Bombyx mori: one gene and its partners. The protein of the gene in region 4 interacts with the protein of the main gene of each other region in a pairwise test. Links are inferred from orthologs where the notes say so. Each region holds a gene or a part of one and is shown on either strand. Other genes may lie near its edges. The genes, in order: peroxisome assembly protein 12, peroxisomal membrane protein PEX16, peroxisomal membrane protein 11B and peroxisomal biogenesis factor 19.

The links.
Region 1: the proteins of peroxisomal biogenesis factor 19 (region 4) and peroxisome assembly protein 12 interact in a two-hybrid assay, tested with the Homo sapiens proteins (4 studies listed by BioGRID and IntAct, with this or other methods). The link is inferred for Bombyx mori from reciprocal best matches to the Homo sapiens genes PEX19 and PEX12.
Region 2: the proteins of peroxisomal biogenesis factor 19 (region 4) and peroxisomal membrane protein PEX16 interact in binary tests that used the Homo sapiens proteins (3 or more experiments, as listed by UniProt). The link is inferred for Bombyx mori from reciprocal best matches to the Homo sapiens genes PEX19 and PEX16.
Region 3: the proteins of peroxisomal biogenesis factor 19 (region 4) and peroxisomal membrane protein 11B interact in binary tests that used the Homo sapiens proteins (3 or more experiments, as listed by UniProt). The link is inferred for Bombyx mori from reciprocal best matches to the Homo sapiens genes PEX19 and PEX11B.

Annotation. Positions count from the first base shown.
Region 1 is NC_085122.1:395,434-401,301, reverse strand, and holds the start of peroxisome assembly protein 12, read right to left. Parts: upstream 3,333-5,868; 5' UTR 3,178-3,332; coding exon 3,058-3,177; intron 2,669-3,057; coding exon 2,560-2,668; intron 1,976-2,559; coding exon 1,773-1,975; intron 86-1,772; coding exon 1-85. UniProt on the Homo sapiens protein: Component of a retrotranslocation channel required for peroxisome organization by mediating export of the PEX5 receptor from peroxisomes to the cytosol, thereby promoting PEX5 recycling.
Region 2 is NC_085107.1:1,911,912-1,917,945, forward strand, and holds peroxisomal membrane protein PEX16, read right to left. Parts: upstream 3,854-6,034; 5' UTR 3,659-3,853; coding exon 2,669-3,658; 3' UTR 487-2,668; downstream 1-486. UniProt on the Homo sapiens protein: Required for peroxisome membrane biogenesis. May play a role in early stages of peroxisome assembly. Can recruit other peroxisomal proteins, such as PEX3 and PMP34, to de novo peroxisomes derived from the endoplasmic reticulum (ER).
Region 3 is NC_085125.1:10,169,484-10,175,374, forward strand, and holds peroxisomal membrane protein 11B, read right to left. Parts: upstream 3,926-5,891; 5' UTR 3,451-3,925; exon of another isoform or gene 3,447-3,450; intron 3,369-3,446; 5' UTR 3,230-3,368; coding exon 3,174-3,229; intron 3,083-3,173; coding exon 2,967-3,082; intron 2,276-2,966; coding exon 1,731-2,275; 3' UTR 1,018-1,730; downstream 1-1,017. UniProt on the Homo sapiens protein: Involved in peroxisomal proliferation. May regulate peroxisome division by recruiting the dynamin-related GTPase DNM1L to the peroxisomal membrane. Promotes membrane protrusion and elongation on the peroxisomal surface.
Region 4 is NC_085129.1:20,648,973-20,654,775, reverse strand, and holds the start of peroxisomal biogenesis factor 19, read right to left. Parts: upstream 4,059-5,803; 5' UTR 3,885-4,058; coding exon 3,821-3,884; intron 2,754-3,820; coding exon 2,586-2,753; intron 1-2,585. Other genes in the region: uncharacterized protein LOC101735788, read left to right, coding at 4,895-4,914, 5,390-5,512. UniProt on the Homo sapiens protein: Necessary for early peroxisomal biogenesis. Acts both as a cytosolic chaperone and as an import receptor for peroxisomal membrane proteins (PMPs).

The DNA of each region.
Region 1 (5,868 bases), on a different chromosome or scaffold from region 4:
GCTGCACCAGCTGTAGACCCTCGTACACGAGGTGGAGGATCGCGTACACTTTTATCGCTGCCGAACGAAGCCGGCCCCGCGTGTCCTGAATGACCAGTGTCCATAATACACCCAAGCGCTGGTCTTGTATCAATGCACATAGTTTTACTTGTGCTCATTTTGTGCACCTGTGATGGTCGGTACCACCGTGCAAGACAAGTGCCTTTTCTGCCGCGGAATAATCCAGTGTTCCGGTCCGGTGAAGGAAGAAGCCGTAATTCAAAGTAATCGAGACTACGACCTCATCTCTTAACACGTCGACTGCCATGTAGGTCACCAGTGCCCTACGCGGCGCACTGAAGTAACTACGTCGATTTACTGGTGGTAGGACATCTTGTGAGTCCGCACGGGTAGGTACCACCACCCTGCCTATTTCTGCCGTGAAGCAGTAATGCGTTTCGGTTTGAAGGGCGGGGCAGCCGTTGTAACTATACTGAGACCTTAGAACTTATATCTCAAGGTGTGTGGCGCATTTACGTTGTAGATGTCTATGGGTTCCAGTAACCACTTAACAGCAAGTGGGCTGTGACCTCGTCCAACCAGCTAAGCAATAAATAAACCGGTGACCCACATGGCAGTGAATGTGTTAAGGTATTCATGTTGTGGCGGGCTCCAGCGGATCCTGTCCTGTGTCATATCATGCCCCATCAATAATTGAGTATAACTATTGGAGCTCTTTCTCTTCAGTAAGACAGATTCTGATATAAAATTACAATGTGCTGTAAAACCTAGATAAACGCGTATTGTATCATATAACAGAAATGATAGTTTTATCAAAATAATTTACATTAGCTGATAACTGTAAAATTTACCAACAACATGTACTGGTGTCGTAAACTTTATGACGACTTCGTTATGTAAGCGAATTCGTGTCTTTAATGTTATTAGTATTGTGTCTAATTATTACTAATATCTGTTATTTCAAGGGATTGAAGAACATGACACGTCATAGAGATGATAGCCAATTTTACCTTATTTAACATTTTTTTGTGAACACTAAATATACAATTTGTTATGTTTCATGAAAACACACATTAATAATGTATATGAAATCATTTAAGCTGATTTCTATATACTTATTGAATTTCAAAACAGCAGCATTTCTCCTAGCAGTAAAAAAAAACCCGTTAATCTGAGAAGATCCAGTAACAAAAACTCAGTGGGAAATTATAAAAAAAAAGTTTTTTAAAGGGCATTTCTATTGTAAAAATTAAAAGTAAAGTTAAACAGAGTCAATTTCCCTCATCCTGCCTGTCAGACAATCATTGTCTTTATAAGATTCCCTTTTCTTACTTACAAACAAACATTACTTGATAGTTCTCTTAAAATACATGTACGAATACAAAATACATACATAAATGCACAAACAGTATCCGAACGTTTAATTCATTAACCTGACTAAGAAACTACTGAGGAGGTACAGCTTCCGCTGCCCAGCTAACTCTACAGCTGATACAACAACGGGATCAATTGGAACGAGTACTGGTTGTGGGATGTTATTGAGATAGTACAATCTCCAGAAGAGTTAAGTAATCTACGTATTTAACCTAACTAATTAAGTTGCCTATTTGACATAGTGCAAATCAGACACGCATATTATATTCTAGTTTATAAAGACTTAGTTACTCATAATCAGCAATTATATATTCCCATATTAATAATTAATAATACAATAAAGGTTGTAGTCAGCTACCTATTTCTAATCGTCACATTTTCAAATTTTAATTGCATACCTTACCAAGTTTCCCATCTTCATTGTCTTCCCTCCATTTATCAATAATAGCACCGACTTTGTCCTTAACGTATGGCAACAATACTAGAAGTGCAAGAGATCCTCGCTCTAAGTCTATTGGGAGACGTTGTCCAATGCTGAACTCACTACTGTACGATATGGGCACCCGGAGTAGACCATAGAAACTTTCAGAAAAAGATGCAGCTGTAACCATAAATGAGGTTTTAAAATCATTAGCAATCCGTTAATCTGTTTTTTTCTTTCTTGCTAAGTCCCACCCTTCGAACCGAAACGCATTACTGCTTCACGGCGGAAATAGGCGGGGTGGTGGTACCTACCCGTGCGGACTCCCAAGAGGTCCTACCACCAGTGAAAAACCTGTGTGTATGAGAGGCTCCATCTTGCCTCTTTATGATAACAATTATGCAGTCTGGTTTTATTACGAACTCATATCTCAAGATGATGACATTCACATTGTTGTCTATGGACTACAGTAAATACTTTTGTAAGTCATTGTGGCCTAAAAGTTAAGATGCTTGGTACATTCATGTCAAACGATACCACTGTTGTTCTAATCTCAGTGGCAGGACCAATTATTCTATGAAATACATACTTAACTTTTTTAGTAATGAGCTTATTTTCACATATTTTACAGAAATTGCTAGTGTTTTTAAAAAAAAGTACCTTATGAAAAGTAGCTTAAAAAATACAAAAATAAAAAGAATTTTAAAAGATTATTATTATTTTAAAGGATAAGACTAAAATATAATAAATTAAATCAGAATTACCATAATATTTAAGGTAATTGTACTGCACTATACAATCAAACAGCAAATACAGTTCATCGTACCAATGAGTGCACCAGCTGCATTTGTTAGGGTACAGCACTGATAAATACTGAAATCATTTCAAATTTTACATCCTCATTTAAAACAAATTAAAAAAATTAAGTTATATTCTACATTGTGTCTTAGGACTGTGTGTAAGTAACCGTTGTATAATGTAGTATAACAAATTAAGTATAATGTTGTTTGAATTTGACAATTATGATGCGAAGAATCCACCAAGTACCATAGTTGTTCCTCTGGAGGTATAACTTTATTAAGTTTCATACTATCCTGGCCATTAAGCAAGTTGTTCATGTCACTAACACTCAATACTTTCCTAACTTAAATTTGAAGTTTATTTAACTATTAAATTAAATTGACCACAACAATTATTTTAGTTAAGAAATTAACGGGAATAGTCTTGAATATGGACAAATTATAATATAGTGATATACTTACTTCAATAACCTTCCTGAGAGCAGGTTTTAAAGTAGTTCCAAGGGCCTCCTGTGCTGTCACTTGAAAAACCGATGGAGTCCCTTGGAAGCTGCGTGTTAAATGAGCCGCGTATACCGCCATTACATTAAATATTACAATATCAACCGATTAACAAAATTGAACATAATAGTATAATGTTTTGGTTATTTAAATTTTTAATTTCTGTTTATTTTCTCAGCTGTTCTTTTTTTTTTGTTAAATCATCCATCATGTACGCAAAGGGAGCCATGGCTGATAAGCCAAAAATCTCTTACAAGAAAAGTCGAAGACATGTTGGTTGTGTGAAAAAATAATGTTAACGAAATAAAATTATATTCCCTGAAGATTTGCTATGGAACGAAGAAAATGTAGTTAAATGATTAGAGATGAGACAAAACTCAGTAGGTGCTGGATAAAATGAAATGAAATTATCTCACAATAAAATGAATCTGTAGTAAAATGTTGGTCAGTCGGTTTGACACATAAATTGACTTTTTGTGGGGAAAATCTCGATCATAGACTTCAATTTCACAAACTATTGATTCAGATGTGCTAGGGTCTTGCTAATCTTCTTAAAATCATTACAATTTTGGTACAAGAGCTCCTCAGGTCTACTTCAATCGCGGATTAAAAAAATCCGACCCAGTTCCTTTATTCGAGGCTAAAGATTTCTTTATTTGAGGATCTAATTGGTACATTGTGGGACACATTGATAAAAAGGATTCCAATATAAAGGAATCCAACCAAATATTCTTAGTAAACGCGTCGTCAAATTGACTAATAAAAAGGTAAAATAGACCATATTACAACTATGCTTAAGGTATGTTATTAAATGTTTTTTATCTTTCCCCTAGGAACGTATCCCCTCTATTGCCGTATACATATGTAGGTAAATTACAATTTCATATTCAATTCTTGTATTCGCAGCATATTTTACGGAATACATTCCCTGCGGATAAAGAGCTTTTACTGTATATGGACTGCCTAAGAAAGTACTTTTTACTAACTTACCATTTTAGATTTACTCAATGAAATCTGGAGAAATGTTAAATTAATAAAATGAAACAATTCGTTTAGCTTAATGTCTCAAGTGTTAGGAACATTATATTTATTCACGTAATTAAATTATAAGAGCTGAAACATTATTGTAAATAAGTTACTGATTCCATTTCTACACTATAGTCATGAAACTGTTAGGATCATTTTAATTTGCAGTATTATAAACAGACCCAAAATTAGTAACAACCTCTATCGAAGTATGATTAAAATATATTTATTTAGGGCCAAACCTTATCCCCATCATTTTTGTAAATATTCAGTCAAACTATTGACCTGTAGAATAATTTTATTCATGCCTTTAATAATAGTTTCACGACTATAATAAAACTTCTGTTGACTTCCGGTCTCCAAAAAACACGGGGGCGGGCACACAAAATGATGGCGTATTTTGTCACGAATTGAGCGAAGTTATATACAAACAATTGCAATTTGAAGTCAGGACCAGGACGATCTACGAAAATGGTTACCGGTTAAGACAATTTATGAATTTTATGTAAAGCAAATATGTGAAATTGTAGTAATAAAAGGAAGCAGCCAATGAGTGTTTGAATTTTTCGGCAAAAGCCAAAAAACGTTAAAGTCATGTCTTATACCCTACCAGTAATTAATTATAGATAGCTTGTATCTTTACCTGTATTGGACTTTGGGTACTTGCGCAGGCAAAAGACCTCATTGACCATATAGACAAGGATTATTTAAAAAAAATGCTATTTTTTGTAATGCCATTGAGTAACTTCTAACGAACAAAATCCATTCTTAGAAGCCAAAATAAAACGATTATTTTCCTGTTTGGAATTAGAAAAAGTTTTCAACTCATTTACAAATAGGTAGGTAGCACGTATTCTTCTTTATAATATTACTTTAGAAGCTTTGTATGTCTGTACGTATTAAAGTTTTATTATGAGTTTGTGGTGGTAGTGAAATGTCCAGCAACATGGTGCAGCACGAGCGTCGCCCGGGGGCCGCATCAAACGATGACACTATCGTAAATTGAATAGTGCTGTTTCAAATCAGTCTCACCAAAATTCGGAAAAAAACAAGACTCGGTTTCCTCAAATTTATTTCTTTATTTTCACAAAATATAATATTTTTGTAAAGCAAACAGTAGCACCTATTAAGTCAAGGCCATTCACAATCAGTTATGCATCACAAGGAACATCTACACAATATTAAATAAACTACATTTCTCGTTCACAAAAAAAAATTAACACGAAAAGATAAATTATTAATAATAGCAGTTTCAAAATGAATAGTTACTTGATAGTTAGTTACCTACTGCGCGTAACAACTAAACAAACAGTCGGCCAATAATCCGGCCAAAGCCACCGAAATGTCGTTACCTTGCAATTCATTGTATTCTTATTATTTTTTGATCTATTGAATTTTTTGTAATACTTCCGTTTAAAACTATTTTCTGTTAACTTTGGCACTTTACTTGTTCTAAAAGTGACACAACAATATGTTTACTGCTTTAATATTATAAATAACTCGCAACTTGGCCCCTATTTCGGGGAGCACTTAGCGTCACCGGTTGTGTACTATGTGTACCTTTTAGATTTTTGTAGGCGTTTTAAAATATCTAAGAAGGGTATTGCCATGGTTTAAAAAAAAATAAAATGCCAGTTTAGGAGATTATAATTTTGAGATTAAGACACTTAAAATAGAAAAAAACCATACACATGAAAGTAAGGATTCCAAAACAAAATGCCAAAAATACAAATTTACAATTTACCT
Region 2 (6,034 bases), on a different chromosome or scaffold from region 4:
TTTGAAGGGTGGGGCAGCCGTTGTACTGTACCTGAGACCTTAGAACTTATATCTCAAGGTGGGTGGCGCAATACGTCGTAGATGTCTATGGGCTCCAGTAACCACTTCACACCAGGTGGGCTGTGAGCTCGTCCACCCATCTAAGCAATAAAAAAAAAGACAGATTTCGAAGGCAGCGTGCGTGACGGCATTTAGCAACGGGCAACGCAAGCTCGTTTAGTTTTTAATGTCATCGTGACCTATAAGATAAGACGCTCGGTACATTCGTATCAAGCCATGCGACTATGTCGGTGTTCGAATCCCGCAGGCAGTTAGTAATTTTTCTAAAGAAATAAAATACGTACGTAACAAATTTTCACGAATGACTTAAGTACACGGTGAAGGAATAAAAAATATTAAAATTAAACACGCGAACATTTTAATAGCGTAATTACTGGTGATAGGACGTCTTATATATAAGAAGACATATAAATTAATAAAGACCACTTTATATTACACATAATTCCATTTATTGAGTCATTGTTTTGCAATACAGTAAAAAATATATAAGATTCATGGAAATAAATGTACAATGGTGGCACTTCACTTGGCGTAGCATCTGCCAGTAGGTACAAGGTCAGATATTTGTTGTATTCACAAACGCTTCGTCCACACAAATTTAAAAGGCAAAAGGCCTTCCAAAGCTCTTGCAGTTGCAATTATTATCTACAGTTAACCAAAAAGGACTGTTATTTGCATTATTTACCATTAAACATTAACTACTGCTTCTCAGCTCATCTCTGTTTTAGGCATCAAAGCAAATATACAAATACGCAAACCCAAGTACCAGCATACGCAACAAATAAGTTATTCAACAAGACCACCTATATGTATACCATGAGGGTCATTAAAAGCAACACATCTTTAGTCTACGACAGTAGGTATGGCCAAATTGTGCCTTATTACGAATACGCACATTGCAATATACGATATAGTTCAGTTTTACTATGTGCTTAGTGCGAGTTTTTTTAACGTTCACGATAGCGTAAAAGTCAAATTTGTAGGGAGTTGGAACGTTTGCCTATGTTTGCCGCTAGGGGGCACTGTTCCGGCTGCATACAAATTTCAGGTAACTTTTACGCTATCGAGGACGTTAAAAAACTCACACTAAGCACACTGATGGTAAGGCGTCTTGCGAGCTCGCCCGGGTTGATTTCGCCGTCCTACTTATTTCTGCGCCTGCGCATCCAAATGTCTCGAAGGGAGTAGCGGTATACACATTTCCGGGTCTACAGACTACAGTAACCAGACTAGTGTGTGGGCCACTTATCAGACGTTTCCAGAGGTATGTAGTGCGAGAGGTGACAACGTGTCGGCTTGACAAAAAGTAAATCAATAAACGAACTGTACAACTGAAATCTACTTTGTTTATGGTTGACACTCTGCCTCGATCATTCCTTCATAGCTTCATAAGTACCTAAGAATCACGATTCTTTAGATGCAGCTCGTTGACTGTCTTTGTCCTGCAATGTCATTTATTAGACAGAGATCTGTGCTGCGATATTTTAGTTCATATCTCAATTCATTGCTTGGGACATCATAGCCTTGTTCTCTTACTCGATTATTGACATATCAATTCATAATGCAAAATGTTCCATTAATAGACACAGATTTTACAAACAGATAAAGTTTCTTATTACCCACATATTTAGATTAAAATCTGAATCATTCTTATGTCTTGACATATTACAATGTGCTTGTATTCTCTTCATATCTGTTTAATTAAATTTACTACTACTACAAGATTGTTTTATTATTTCAGTTTCTGTAAAGAATTCGACATTATGGATTCACTTATATTGAAAAAATATTATTGTTTTTTTCTTTCTAGACCACATCAGTTAGATTGGTTTTTGCCATCATTATATTTATCCATTCACAAACTCAAATGTTCCGGTCAATGAATAATTAAATCTATTCATAGATATAAAAAGTAGATAAAAATAATACAGTATCCAACACCTATATGAAACACACTACCATTGTCTCAAATATTGAAATCATTTTGAAGGTAATATTAATAGTTAATGTCAGTTACACATACAGTCTACAAAATACTAAGGAATGATTTTAATCTTCCACCTTGATATCTCTTAATAAAAAACAAAACTGTTCTAGAGATGCTCGTTTGACAATAAAGATATTTGCAAAATATCACATTTAAGTTTTCTGATAATGTATTACCAATTTTTTTTTGTCTCTTTGTGGATCAGATTGCCAGCAAAATTACAAGAACCACTATTGATCATAAATACTTTCTGTCCAAATTCTTTTTTAAAGAACAATAAGAAAAAATGTACATAAGCTGTATTATTTACAGTTTATGAAGCATATATGTATATATAACACAAAATTGTCCCAGCGAAGAGCAAACATTTGAATATTTACTCCCATTTGCATGTGAAATTAAACATTAGGTAGTATATAATTATTACAAACTGTTGTGTTTGAGTTTTACAGACCATTTGGATTAGATTTATACCTTAAAGATAACAGTAACATTCTGTAATGATTTAATATTAATCATAATTTTTCCATTAAATTATAATTTTCAAATCTATAGTAGACTTTTAGTTTGAAATCTTATTGATGAAACATACTGATTTGTATTAATTAATTAATTATTTACTTATGATGCCCACATATAGAAGTAAATGTCTTGCCAGTGATTTAAGTATTGGATTATTGGGCCACAGATCAATGACATCATAGGTATTTTCTTTGAAGCAGAATTAAGAACATTTTCTATTACAGTGTTAGAATATTTATTGTACATAGGACTGCGTAATAAATATAGGACTAAGCCTAATTTTCTTCGACTTATTTCCAGCCTTTGTTCATATGATAACTCTTTCATATACCTATTGTATACTTTGAGACTGGCAATATCAATACTGAGAGCCACAAACCACTGCTTCCAGGCTTTATTTCCAAAGAACCTCATTGCAGCAAGATGAAGTAATGGCTTCAAAACATGTAATGACTCAGCATACAATAAGTCCTTAACCTCAATGCCAGGCACAGGTCTATCATCTTTTATTTTCACTGGCGTCCAATCTCGAAAAGCAATTGGAGGTGCTCCATCAACACGTCTCATAACACGGCCAGACCTGCGAAGCTTAAAAAATGAATTCTCATGCTCTTCAACATCTCGGCCTTCAGTATACTTCTTTCTTTGTAAGAAAGCAACAGGGGGGTGTGATATGGGAAGTTCTTTGAATCGATACAGAAGAATTAATCCGGACGATGCTTTGAAGAGCTGCAATAAAGTTGCAACGGTCCACTTGCCTCGTTGTCCCCATCTGTCTTTGGCAATGAGTTCTACAAACACTTCACTATAGTGAATGATAGTGAGCCATATTTTAATCTGTTCACGAAGTCCATAAGATGAAGTTTCGGCACCGTAAGCGTCTCGAATAAGTCTATCATTATACAATGATAACAGCTTTGACATGCAGTATATCATTTCAGATATAATTGGGGATTTGTTTATTTTACCGGCCACGAAATACGACGTCCATGTAGCAACGGTCTCGACGTCTGTCACCACGCTCGGATTGCTGATCACCCATCGCTTGTACGCAGTGTACACTTCTTGCAACGACAATTTGCTACTCATTTTTTAACAAAAATTATTTATGAATTGGTCAGAATACTTTAGCTGTTAAATTGATTTACCACTAAGGTTTAGTAATTATAACAAGTCATCTGTGTAAATTAACCATAAATATAAAACACTGAACTTTAGAACCAGTCTCCTATCAGTTTACTTTGTTGACAAAAATGACACATTTGATTTCAATGGTTTTCTTTAATAAACAGGCAAAAGAAATCAAACCTATAATACTTTTTGGTACTTGCAATACCAAATGGAATTTACTTACTGTTTTGTTCAAATGGATAAGTTAAGCTAAAGATAATTCGTACGGCCAAATCGTAATGAAATAATCTTAAATCATAATTTAGAAAATAATTAAATACATTTATTTAGGCTGTGTGAATGTTTACGATATTGGCAAACGTACAATGCAAGAAACCTTTGATTCTCAAATGTTGAATACTATCTATCAGAATTTCTTGTACATTTACATGGTATATTTACCTAATGAAACGATACATCTCTCGTGCATCTTGCGTCTTGAAGTTAATTTTCATCAATAAACGGTAAATTTATAAACTAATATAAAATAATAATAATAATATAAAATAAGTCCTAAATTAATTTTTCGAACCTACAGACATAAGTTAAAGGTTTTTGATATTTCAAAGAACACGAAAAATCTAGAAAGTCTGACTGAAAAGAAAAATAAGAAATTTGTAGATAAAGTACATTTTTTTTGCTAGAACCAAGATTGCTTGTTGGATTATGGCGAATTTATCATAGTTTTGTAGAAGTCTACTATATCAAAGAAACGTTGAAAGTATAATTAGGAGATATTTGGACAAAAGTAAAAGTATGCAAATGATGCAATAATTTACAGTATATTTTTACCAAATTTTGCTCAACTGTTATCAGAGATGGAAATGTATTGGTAATAAAATTCATGACAATGTGGATGATATAAGCTATGGCGATTCTGTATTTACAAAAATGGAACAACTAATAGCACCATTAGAAACAAGAAATAAAAGTAAGAAAAACAAATTTCCTTAAATTCGAATAACGAGTTATTCTTCGAATTGAGGAATTGGCTTTAAAATCTTATTTATCTCTTCTTCTTATTTATCTCTCTCTTTAATTAATCTCTTACTGGTGGTAGGACCTCTTGTGAGTCCGCACGAGTAGATACCACCACCCTACCTACTTCTACCGTGGAGCAGTAATGCGTTTCGATTTGAAGGGTGGGACAGCCGTTGCAACTATACTGACACCTTAGAACTTATATTTCAAGGTGGGTGGCGCATTTACGTTGTAGATGTCTATGGGCTTCAGTTACCACTTAACGCCAGATGGGCTGTGAGCTCGTCTACCCATCTAAGCAATAAAAAAAAGGGAAGCATTATCAGTTCAAAACTTCAAAAAAACTTCGTTTTCGCTTACTATATTAAATGAAGTGGGGTCGTTGGAAATAGCTCTTGTTGAGCACTGCCAAAGCCAACGAATACTACAATTTCGAATCCCAATTGTTGGCATGTCAACTGCAGCACCCTTCAAACTGTAACTGTTATCAGAGATGGAAATGTATTGGTAATAAAATTCATGACAATGTGGATGATATAAGCTATGGCGATTATGTATTTACAAAAATGGAACAACTAATAGCACCATTAGAAACAAGAAATAAAAGTAAGAAAAACAAATTTCCTTAAATTCGAATAACGAGTTATTCTTCGAATTGAGGAATTGGCTTTAAAATCTTATTTATCTCTTCTTCTTATTTATCTCTCTCTTTAATTAATCTCTTACTGGTGGTAGGACCTCTTGTGAGTCCGCACGAGTAGATACCACCACCCTACCTACTTCTACCGTGGAGCAGTAATGCGTTTCGATTTGAAGGGTGGGACAGCCGTTGCAACTATACTGACACCTTAGAACTTATATTTCAAGGTGGGTGGCGCATTTACGTTGTAGATGTCTATGGGCTTCAGTTACCACTTAACGCCAGATGGGCTGTGAGCTCGTCTACCCATCTAAGCAATAAATAAAAATCTTATGCGGGAATGATGCTCCACCTCTAAAACACCTCGTTTTTTGCTTTCTCTCTTAATTTATTCATGCATAATCTGCCCAAACAAGAGTGAGGGAAAATACAACTCGAGCAAAACCCATCTTGAGGTAAGGCGATTGAATCTACCGAAGTTATCCATTTGGACATTTTACGGTTTTTATAAAATACATTTAATATTCAGTAAACCCTGACTATTTACCGACAGGTTTTTAAATTCATTTCGATGCTACCTACACTAGCCTTTGCCGTTTAAAGTAGTTAGCTGTATGAGCTATTTTATATCTGAGCTGTATGAGCTATCTCTTCTTTTGCTTATAAGAAAGGAT
Region 3 (5,891 bases), on a different chromosome or scaffold from region 4:
CCGAAGCGAAGCGAGGGCGGGTCGCTAGTCGATAAATAAAAGACCTCAAATTTTGTATAAAATAAACATAAACCAACCAAATGAATCCGTCCGACGAGGGACATCAAAGGGAAAACAATATTGTTATTTTTATTTAATTCCGAGCATTTTCATATTTATCTACCTTTTAAACCTCCTCTGGACTTCCACAAATAATTCAATACCAAAATTAGCCAAATCGGTCCAGCCGTTCTCGAGTTTTAGCGAGACTAACGAACAGCAATTCATTTTTATAATAGTTTAGGGAAGATCTTCCACCGAGCGGATGATATTGCTCGGTAGACCGACGGTCCGAATGTTGTTGTTCGGAACTTGTATATATGCGCTTTATCTTGAAAATGTCGTAAGCGAGATTCAGGCATCTATCAATTATCTTGCGTTGTATGATGGCTACCCGCCACAATAGATTTAATTTTGGATTTGAGAGATAAATACGACAAACACTACTTCTACTATAAAAAAATATAAATCATATTTAGCTTATTGGATGCTGATTGGCTAGGTAGTCCAGCATATGTTTATTTATAATTGTAAATGTATGTCTAGTAGATTGGTCGTATAGTAAGCCCACTCGAGCAGGTTTCAGCACTTTCAGTACTTAACTTATGAATAAGCTTTCAAGTAAAATTTGGACAAACACGCTATTCATTGATAATCAACGATTCTATTGTATTATTTGCAAGTGGTGGAGCGTATTGTAAGCTGGCACTGATAGGTACAACCATTCTGCATGCTTTTGCCGTGAACCCGTTATGCATGAGCGTGAAGTATGCTACTATAGAATACAATTGAGCCTCCAAATTCATATCTCCAGGTGGTTTGCGCTTTTGATCTTGTAGTGTAGGTATACAGGCTCTAGCCACAACTTAGCATCAAGTATGCTGCAGAACCAAAATCAATCTAGTGAAGTCATTACCTAACTCAACAGTACTCGTTCAGGTAGAATACAACATTAATGAAAATTACAAAATCAAAAACTTTAATGTAAATAATTTATATATTTTTTAAATCCCTTTAGTACCTTATGTACAAAATAAAATATAATTTTCCTACACCAATACCAGTATTCACAAAGTCACTCACTACAGCCTTATATATGATTAAAATTATTACATGGAAATATGTATACTGTAAGACAGCAAAAATATTTTTTACACATTTAATTTTGCTTGCAAAATTGAGAATGAAAAAACTTTATATACTTCAACAATTAAAAACTGATTCTCATCCACTGTATGCATCATGTATTCCTCAACAAAAATAATTTCTATTAATAACTTTGAATAAATCCCCATACATATATTATTTTGTACTTTTTATTTTTCATTCAAAATTATTATCACTATTTGAGAAAGTAGTCAGAATACAACTTTTAAACCTTTATTATATTTGAATTATGGCAAATTTGGAAATAGTTAAGTGTACTGCAATAAAAAAGTTGTGTATCACTGATCAAAGAATTCGCCAAATGGATGTCAGAGTATCTACTCATGGTAAACACTCAGTGCATTAAAATTATTATTATTATGTAACTAATTTATTCGTGAATGATGATGAATCATATATATGATATTGTATTTTATAGCATTTCTCATGTTCACTGAAACATCGTGACAAGACTTGATTTTGTTCATTCAAAAATTTAACAAACAATACAGTTAAATCTGTAATTTGTCACTTATTTTATGCCATTATGATGGTACCAATTTAGATATAGGTTGAACTAGAGTTATCAAAGCAGCAATGGAAGAGATAGCACCTAAAGTGCCAATCGCACTTGGACTCAATTTTATAAACCCAAGAGCTGTTAAGGGTATGAACAAGTCACATGCATTCTTCAATGTATCAACAAATATATCTCTATGACAAAGTAATAACACATGAATGTGTTTCAAAGTAGACATTAGATCAAATTTATGTACTGATAGATTTAATAAATCAGAAGGCCTTAGAAATTTTGAATTGTGTAGTTGTAACAAATGGAGTATTTCATAAAAGTCTCGTGCTAAATTTGCAATAATAGACAGTAACCAGAATTTATTTGCAGTTTGATTCCAAGTGTCTGAGTCTGTTTTTAGAAATCCACTTTTGGCCAACCATACTATGTGGTCTGCATACAAAAATAAACTATGTGATAACTTGCTAACTGTTATTGTTAATCTTAAAAATGGATCTTCTATGCTCATGCTGTCTAAAGCAATGTAGCAAACGTCTATGCATCTGCCCAACCTCAGAACTGAAAAGTTATTATATCCACATTTTAACATTTAATAATAATAATAAAAGCATTTATTGCCTTTCACACAGATTTAAGACTAATAAAAGTAGATAAATAAAAGAAAAGAAAAAGACAAAAGGAGGTGGTTCAGCTAATGCTGTTCAAAATGAATGCATCAAACAGTGCTGATTTCAGTCACCCCATTTCCCTTTGGTTTAATAAATTTTCATATTTTTTTTTAATAACTTTAAGGTAAGTGACACAAGGGTGAACTGATGGTGATTAGACACCATCACTCATGAACATCAGCAATGCCAGGGTCACAGCCAAGTGGATGCCTACAGTGATGTTTTTCAAACTAAATTTGAAGAAGAGCATGTCCTTAAACATCATATAGGAAAGTTTATTCCAGATCGATTTGACCTAATAAAATATATTTTTCTAGAAAGCGGGCACACAGTTGTTCCGAGAAGTAGAAATGAGTTTGGTAGGGGTATGATGGTATCATGGAGATCACCGGATCAACTCAAAACAATTTCTCAAATTTAAAGTACCCAAATTGTTCTTTAAGGTTCCAAGAATTGTGTAATATTGTTTACCGGTCAATAGTATTTTGTATTATGCTCTAATAAATAAAATAATAACATCCCAGTGTTCGTTTGTAGTTGGATTGTAAGTCTTACGAATGGTACAAATAGTATTTACTTACTCTTTCTAAATGAACTAAATGCATTTTCCAAATTTTTTATTCTATCTATGGAGTATTTATTAGCATTCCTGGTCTCCAATTGATGCCATACAAGCTTGCTAATATATTGAATAAATCTAGACAAGACAAATAAATCTATTATTAGTAGAGTAGAGATTAATAAAAGCCAGTTTGTATAAATAAACCTCTTCTGTCTATGAAGTTTACCTTGCCAATTTGTCTCTTCCAATGGATTGATTATTTACTTTTATAATTATATCCATTGCGATTTCGTCATGGACTTTGTGGAGTAGGGTCAAATCAAGTGAAACGCAAATAAAATGTAAACGCTACGCCAAGAGCGTTCTTAGTACATACTTGTAGTAACTTGCTCGTATGTTAATGTGGATCGTTTTTTGGAAACTGTAACATAGAGTTGCGTTTTCATTACTTAATATAAATGGCATATGCCTTTAAGATTACTTAAGTCTTACAACTTACTTACAGTCTTACTTACTTAGCAAAAAAATAGAATGTTTATCTACATACACTGGTAGCTTTTTTAAGGGATTTTATGACCCGGTAACTAAGACTTTTAGGTCGTTTCTTATTTTAATTTAATAAATTCTTATTTTTATGAAAAATGATAAAATGGAGTGAAATGAAATGAAACGAAGAGGATTAATTTGAGACATTAATCAACTGGGATGAAATTAAATGAAATGAGATGAGATGATAAGAGATGAATTACAATCTCAGTAAAATGATGGTCATTTAGTGAGATTTTTTCAGAGGACTTTTTGGAGGATCCCGACAAGTTACGTCCAGCGGCTTTGTTCCACTTTCCCACATTTGTGCACTTTCACAGATATTAAACAGTTAATAAACCACCGTTATTACACATTTAAACCTGCAGAAACACTAAATAGACAAAATAAAACTATTCACACAACTTCACTCCTCGCGTTCCCGCCAAAAAGTACCGGTAAAATGGGGCGATTAGGGATTGAAAGGCGAATCGGGAAAAAACCGGGAAAATCTTTCGACGCTCAATATAAGTTTTATATTCGTTGCAAAATCTTCCATTTTTTTGTAGTTTAATAGTAGAATGTTGAAAGTTCACAAAACAACTCTGAATATGCATGATAATAGCTGCTAACTTATAAAAAATCGCGTTTCAAATTAACTTCCTGTGGTGGTAATTATTTTAGTGCTAGAAACTTTGCTCTCTTTTATTTATTTGATAATAATAGAAGACGACTATGATTTATAAACGTTATTTAGTGTTTGAACCAGCATATATATTAAAGGTAAGTCTCAGTTGTTATTGGTTTTAATGTATTTGATTAAATAAAAATACATGTAAAAATCTGTTGTTTTTGGGGATATTGGGGACGTCTTAGGTACAAATAACAACGAAAAAGAGGTCAATTGGGATGAGAATACGTGAAATGGAAACGACCTAAGTATAAATAGGTACAGATTTGTAGGGTTGTCTATGTAGTTATAACAATATTTTTTAAATTTGTTGGTAAAAATCTGGTTTATCGAAGCGAAATTGGGAATAAATCTTTAGTTGAAATAGATAAGCAATTTAATATAAGTAAGTCGATTTTGCAGAGACATGTAACAAGATCAATGAAATCTCAAGGTGGACAAAAATGTCTAAGTAATACATAATAAAATATTTAATATTTGTTCAGAGTGGGGGTATTCATCTGATTAATCCATGGAATAACCGACACACCTAATCTCTTAACCCAGATAGAAATATCAGCACTGTCGATTGCACCTATAATTGAGGTGATGTCTGCCATGTACTTTTGTCAGTTTTTCAATTTTTTTTATTGATCACTTTGTTGGTGCAACTAAATAAATAAATAAATTAAAACTATATATAAAAATAAAAGTAGTGCCAACCCTAGCAAATTTCTCATTTCGTCCCAATTAACCGCAATTTTCGGGTAAATAGGGATTAGACCTATTTTTGCATTTTTTGCTTAAACTGGAATGCTAGTTGCATAATTTTAAATTAGACAACAAAGATGCCCCCAAGACTCAATCATTTTGATCCTGATATAGCATTATATACATCAACAACTACCATAAAATTGCTCATAAAGTTGGAATTTGTCCCTAATCGCCCCATTTTACGGTACTACACTGGTAGCATTTTTTTAAAGTGATTTTATGATCTGGTAACTAAGACTTTTTGGTCATGTCTTTTTTTAATTTTAATGACAGCTTTTTTAATGAAAAATGATATTATGAAATGAAATGAAGTTGATTATTATTATACATGGCATGAAATGAAAACGAAATGAAATGAAATGAGATAAGATGATATGGAATGAAGTATAATCTCAGTAAAATAGGGGTCATTTGCTGAGACTTTTTCAGTGAACTTTTTGGAAGATCCCGAGAAGTTACGTTCAGTGGCTTTGTTTCATTTTCCCATTTGTGCACTTTCACAGATACTAAATAGTTAATAAACCACGTTATTACACATTCAAACCTAAGAAACACTATTAAATAAAACAAAGCACACAACTTCACTTCTCGCGTTCCCGCCAAAAAGTCCAGATCATAGGTAGCTTTACTTCTCTTGGGATACAGATCAGTAATTTTCTCTATTAAGTATTCAGTTTAGCAGTCCATATTACAACAATTAGTTAATTAAATCATAGCAATTTCGACAGTAGCATGGATGTGACTTGTTATGTGGGGGTTGTCCAAAGAATTGGATGGTCTAGACCATGCTGATGACTAATGTTTTTTTAATCATGAAGTTGTCTGCATGCAATCCAAACTGGACGATATATAGTTGGAAGCGCCAAAGTTGGTTTTAAGATCAACTCGATGAAGACCCAAAAAACACTTATCGGACAAAATCCGCTACCCGTAAAGCTGGTTACAGAACCGAAACAGCGTACCTATCGTACATAA
Region 4 (5,803 bases):
GGGGAATTAAGAGTTCGATTCTAGAGGGGACTGAGAAATGGTTATCATATCCCAGGAGGTGAGCAAGTGCATATCGGCGGGAGAAAGGGAAATGTCGTCACTTGCATTTTGGGCTAAACGACTTTGTACCTTATCATATAACACATATGGCTCTAGTACAAAATTGGTCTTTTCAAGTTACAACAATTCCGCTTTCTTCCTTCGATATGTATATAATGATATCGAGTACTTCAGAGTGAAGTTTGAAGTCGTCGTGGCCTAAAGGATAAGACGTCCGGTGCATTCGTGTTGAGCGATACACCGGTGTTCGAATTCCAGGCGGGTAGCAATTTTTCTAATGAAATACGTACTCAACAAATGTTCACAATTGACTTCCACGGTTAAGGCATAACATCGTGTAATAAAAATCAAACCCGCAAAATTATAATTTGCGTAATTACTGGTGGTATGACCTCTTGTGAGTCCGCACGGGTAGGTACCACCACCCTGCCTATTTCTGCCGTGAAGCAGTAATGCGTTTCGGTTTGAAGGGTGGGGCAGCCGTTATAACTATACTCGAGACCTTAGAACTTACATCTCAAGATAGGGTGGTGATACCTACCCGTGCGGACTCACAAGAGGTCCTACCACCAGTAAATAGATAAAAGACTTAATTGCGTGTTCTGTTATATGTATAATAAGATAAGAGCATTTAAAAGTCTTGATCTCTTTTAAAATCAATATTAAAAATTAAACAGTATTAATAAGCTATACAAAATTTTTAAGTCCTCCCTTTTTACTTAATCACAGACTTCACTCCATAACAATGGATGTCAATGAAGAAAACTCATTTTTAAAAACTATAGAGTTTTAAATAAGAAAGGTTTTTCTTCATATATGTATAGTAAGTAATACACGGCACAAGACACTACTGCATTTTAACCCTGAAGATCCCAATCATTGTAATAAGACAATTTTATTAAATTACTAGCTTTTGCACGCGACTCCGTTCGCGTGGAATAGTTACTTTGGCATATCACTAAATTTTACCCCCACTTCATTTACGTAGAAAGTGAAAATATTTTTGAATTATAGAATGTTAAGGAGCTATAAGCCCCTATTTTGAAACATTCTTTATTGGTGCTCCACTTGTATCGGCCTTACCGTGATGTTATGTAGCCTATAACCTTCCTCAATAAATGCGTTATGTAACACTGAAAGATTTTTTCAAATCAGACCAGTAGTTCCTGAGATTAACGCGTTCAAACAAACAAACTCTTCAGCTTGATAATATTAGTACAGATTGTATTATCATTGGTCCTTGATAAGTGTGTGATGTTTTAATTAAATTGGATACTTTAAAATCGGTGAATATCACATAAAAAATATATCATATACATACTATGGTATGCCAATTAAAGTGTGTCAAAATAAGCCGCAGATTTAATGTTGATAATAATCTGATTGATTAATTAGGTACTTGTTTGCCTTGTTTGGCTTCAGCTACAACATTCCTTTCATGAAATCCTCAACTTAACGACCTTTTTCCTCCCAAATTCTATTCACTTTTTTTTTAAGATAGGCATTATCCATCCTACATAAACCTAAGCCATTCTGCTGACAAATTTCTGTGGCAAGGGATCTCTCAAGGGTGGATCAGCCATTACAACTGAGGCTTGGAAGATGTCTCAATGTGAGTGGTTGAAATTATTGTTTTTTTTTATTGCTTAGATGGGTGGACGAACTCACAGCCCACCTGGTGTTAAGTGGTTACTGGAGCCCATAGACATCTACAACGTAAAATGCGCCACCCACCTTGAGATATAAGTTCTAAGGTCTCAAGTATAGTTATAACGGCTGCCCTACCCTTCAAACCGAAACGCATTACTGCTTCACGGCAGAAATAGGCAGGGCGGTGGTACCTACCCGCGCGGACTCACAAGAGGTCCTACCACCAGTAAAAATTGTGTATGTGGTTTATTATTTGTTGTTCGTATTCACGGGATATTTTCATTCCGAATATACAAAAGACAAACACTCCATTTCAACAATACATATTATTATACTTAATGTGTACAATATTAAAACATAAACCAAAAGTAAAGTAAGCAACGCTAGGCACTGGAAGATACGAATTAAAATTAAAATTACGTTTTTACATTCAACTTAAATCGACGCGCGCGCGAATCTTGCTGCATGACGTCACGGGACACCTGCGCGTTCAGGAGCTCCGATCGCGTCCGATGACGCCCGAGTGCGACCGAATGTTGCACGCTACATATATGAAGCAGTGTTTCCACAACGAGGGGACATTCCCCATTTGAGGGGAAATTAGGGTCCATAGGAGGAGAAAAAGAGAAGACATCAAAAGGGGAAATTGCGGGAAATCATGGGTAAAATCTAAAATCGATAAAGACCTTTTTTTAGTTACTACACTAGGGCCAAAAGTAAAAACTACAGCAGAAACATTTTTGAGGAGAAAAAGCCCTGAGAAGGGGAAATTTGAATTGAGGTGTGGGGAAAGAAAATCATTAAAGTGGAAACACTGATATGAAGTCCACTAGCCACTTGAAGCTAGATGGAACCTGGCGCACTAATTGACGTACCTGGCACTCCACTGAAACTGCCTAGGATAGCTGCCATGTTGCTCTCAAACTGAGCAGCTGCTTCTTTGATAAATTCCTCGCCCCACATGTTCTGCATTGCTTCGCCACCATCAGGAGTGGTATCGTTTGGCTTATCATCTTTCTTCTTTGTCATATCCTGAAGTGCACCTGGAATAAATTTACACCCTGAGTGACAGTTTTTTAGTATGACTTTCTGTGACTATTAATCTATTGAGGCCAGGTTGGTTAGAGTGATATTTTGTTAGTTATATTTTCTAGATTATGAAAATACCGAAAAACTAATAATATGTAGCAGTTTTATCTTTTAGATATATGTAAATCTAATTTTTAAAATAAAAATTTAAATGTTAAGAGTATAACCAAAAATGAATCAGGTAAAAGATACACTGACAGAAGAACAACTCCTCCCTATGGCATGCCACAATAGATATGTCACTTGAGTAAATAACCCATAGAGTTGACAACAGGCCGGTGTTGTAAAACTCACACCAAAATCCTATGCAGCATGATAGGAGGATATGTGCCAGTCTCCATTACATGGGTTGAAGGCAAGCGGAAGACAGTTTGATAGAGTGGTAGGTTAGGTTTTTTTTTCATTGCTTAGCGGGTGGACAAGCTCACAGCCCACCTGGCCACCTGGCCCTTCATGGCAGATATAGGCGGGGTGGTGATACCTACCCATGCGGATGATGATCATCATTATCAAATTAGGAAATATCATGAATCATGATATTTCCTAATTTTAGAGGATGAAGAGAAGATAGTAAAGTGAGAGCAGCGTGCAATGACCATGAGGTCCAGTAATCAAGTGTACTCATCTTAAGCAGTACAAAACAGCAATAAGCTAGCTATTAATAAAATTTAACAAAAAAATTGTCATTTGATGAATAAATGAAAACTAATGATAGTGTTAATTAATTATGCTCAACATTATTTTATCTTGATTACGTCTAATCAACATTGCTAAACGCAATAAGAAAAAATACGGAACCTTTTTTTTTGAGTTTGAGGATTTATCGTCAGTTTTACATTTTAAAATTAAAAACTTTCATACGCGATTACTTAAATAGAATAAAGAAATATTAAAGATGTTGATAACTGACAAAGAAGACATTAACAGAGAAAACAAACAAAATTAGCATGCACTTAGACCGTAGGTTATTGTGTAATGGAAAATCAACACGATGAAATGTAATCAAGATTTAACAACTTACTGTTCAATAAATCGTCTAATTCAGGATCTTGATCGTTTTTGGATGCGTTCTTATTGTCAGACATGTTTAATCGGTAATAATTAAAATAAATTCAATAGAAAATTGGTTCAGAAAAATTTTCACGTTGAGTGACAAATTTGACAATAGAAATTTCAAAGGTTGAAATGAGCATGAATTTTGAGTGATCGAACTAGCTCATAGATTATACACTTATGAACTATAGCTAATGAATGGGTTTTTTCCCTGTGAAAAGACAATAAAGGCGTTTTGAAAAGGTTTCGGCACTAAGAAACAGATCGATTTTAAGTGAATTTACTACAAAATCTTCGCTGACCAGTAGAAATGAAATACAATTTTAATAAAAAAATATGTATTTTACTCTATACATGAAAATAAAATTAATGAATATCGATGATTAAATTTCGATAAAACGGTGCATTTCCAATAGACATTGCAAAAGCAAAACGTTTGACTCATTCATTTGTTTGTTGTCTTTCTATCATACGTAATGACTATAAGACAAAAAGAGACAAAAAATATTTCTAAGATTATTTCGTTGACCTTGAAGCATGGAGTTAATAAGTACCTACAACAGTAACTCTATGCCTTGAAGTCATATGACTTCACTGAAGGTAACTAATTTAAGCGGGAATTTTAAAACCCGAACCATGAGTTTCTTAGGTTACATTAAAAAATCTATAATATTTAAAATATTGTTTGATTGTAATACATAATTCTATTTTCATTTTTTTTTGCTTTTGTTGTCTTGGAATACTTACCCTAAGCTTTTCGGTATTTCGATCTCTCATTCGAAATAAAATAAATGGAAATGAGACAAATATTTAACAAACTGGCTTGAATAAAAAAAAAACTTAGTTCGAAAAGTGACATATGTTTTGAAACTTCAAAGCCATTCAAATCGGCCATGGTATACGAAATGTGGTAGTTTCATAAAAAAATAAATAAAAAGTGACAAAAAAATCGCAAAAACGTTGTTTAATCACAAAAAACAAGGAATATCAAGATAATTACAAATTTACGTATGCTCTTGAAAAAGTCGTGATTTTTACGAAAATGTCCAATAAAAAATCTCAGTAAGTTACAAAATATTTAAGTAGTCAACTCAAGGGACCGGTAGTTGGCACTTGGTTAATTTTTTCCAATTTTGTTTTTTTTAAAACGGAATAGCACACGGTGAAGTGTTATGTAGCCGATAAATGAAACAAAATAGAGCTCGCAAAATTTACACATTTGTACAATTACTACTGGTAGAAGCTTCTTGTCCATGTATGTGCACGTGGTTAGGTACCAAATCCACCGTATTTCGGCAGCGAAGCGAAGCGACCATTTTGTTGTTACAAAATTTGTTTAAACAATGCAACTCAGATTTTGACTTTGGGTTTCAAGGTTCCAAGATGGCATTCATCTTGTTCTATAAGCTCTGGTCATTTAACAATGGGCCGTGAGCTCTTCCATCATTCTAGTCCAACAAAAAACCTCAAATACTGGCAAACATCTACGAAAACAGGATACTTAAAACTTCTTATTTTTAAATTCACCTCCCACCAGGGCGCCAGCAGGTGGAGACGCTCCTCCACCAGTCGACAGAAAGAAGGACGATAAGAAAAAGGGAAAGGAAGAACCGCCAGAGCCGGAAGAAATACCGAAGACACCATCGCAAATCGATAGAGAGTAAGGTTTTTTTTTTAAAGTTTAGAAATGAAAAGGTTAGAAGTAAAGAGAACCATCTCAGTGTATTAAAAAGTGTCCGCTGAAAAGGAGCCAATTGCGGTGCGCCACAGTAGCAAGTGGAAGGATTTTAAAAACAGCGCCTTAAACTACCACACTTCATTTCAACCCAGCAAACTTTACTCTGTTTAAAACTGCTATATTCATATCATTTCCACTTCGTACACTAGCGCTATTTCGGTGAGTCTTCCAACAATAATTTGCTGTGTACTGGCGGACCCTTTTTCAACTTGT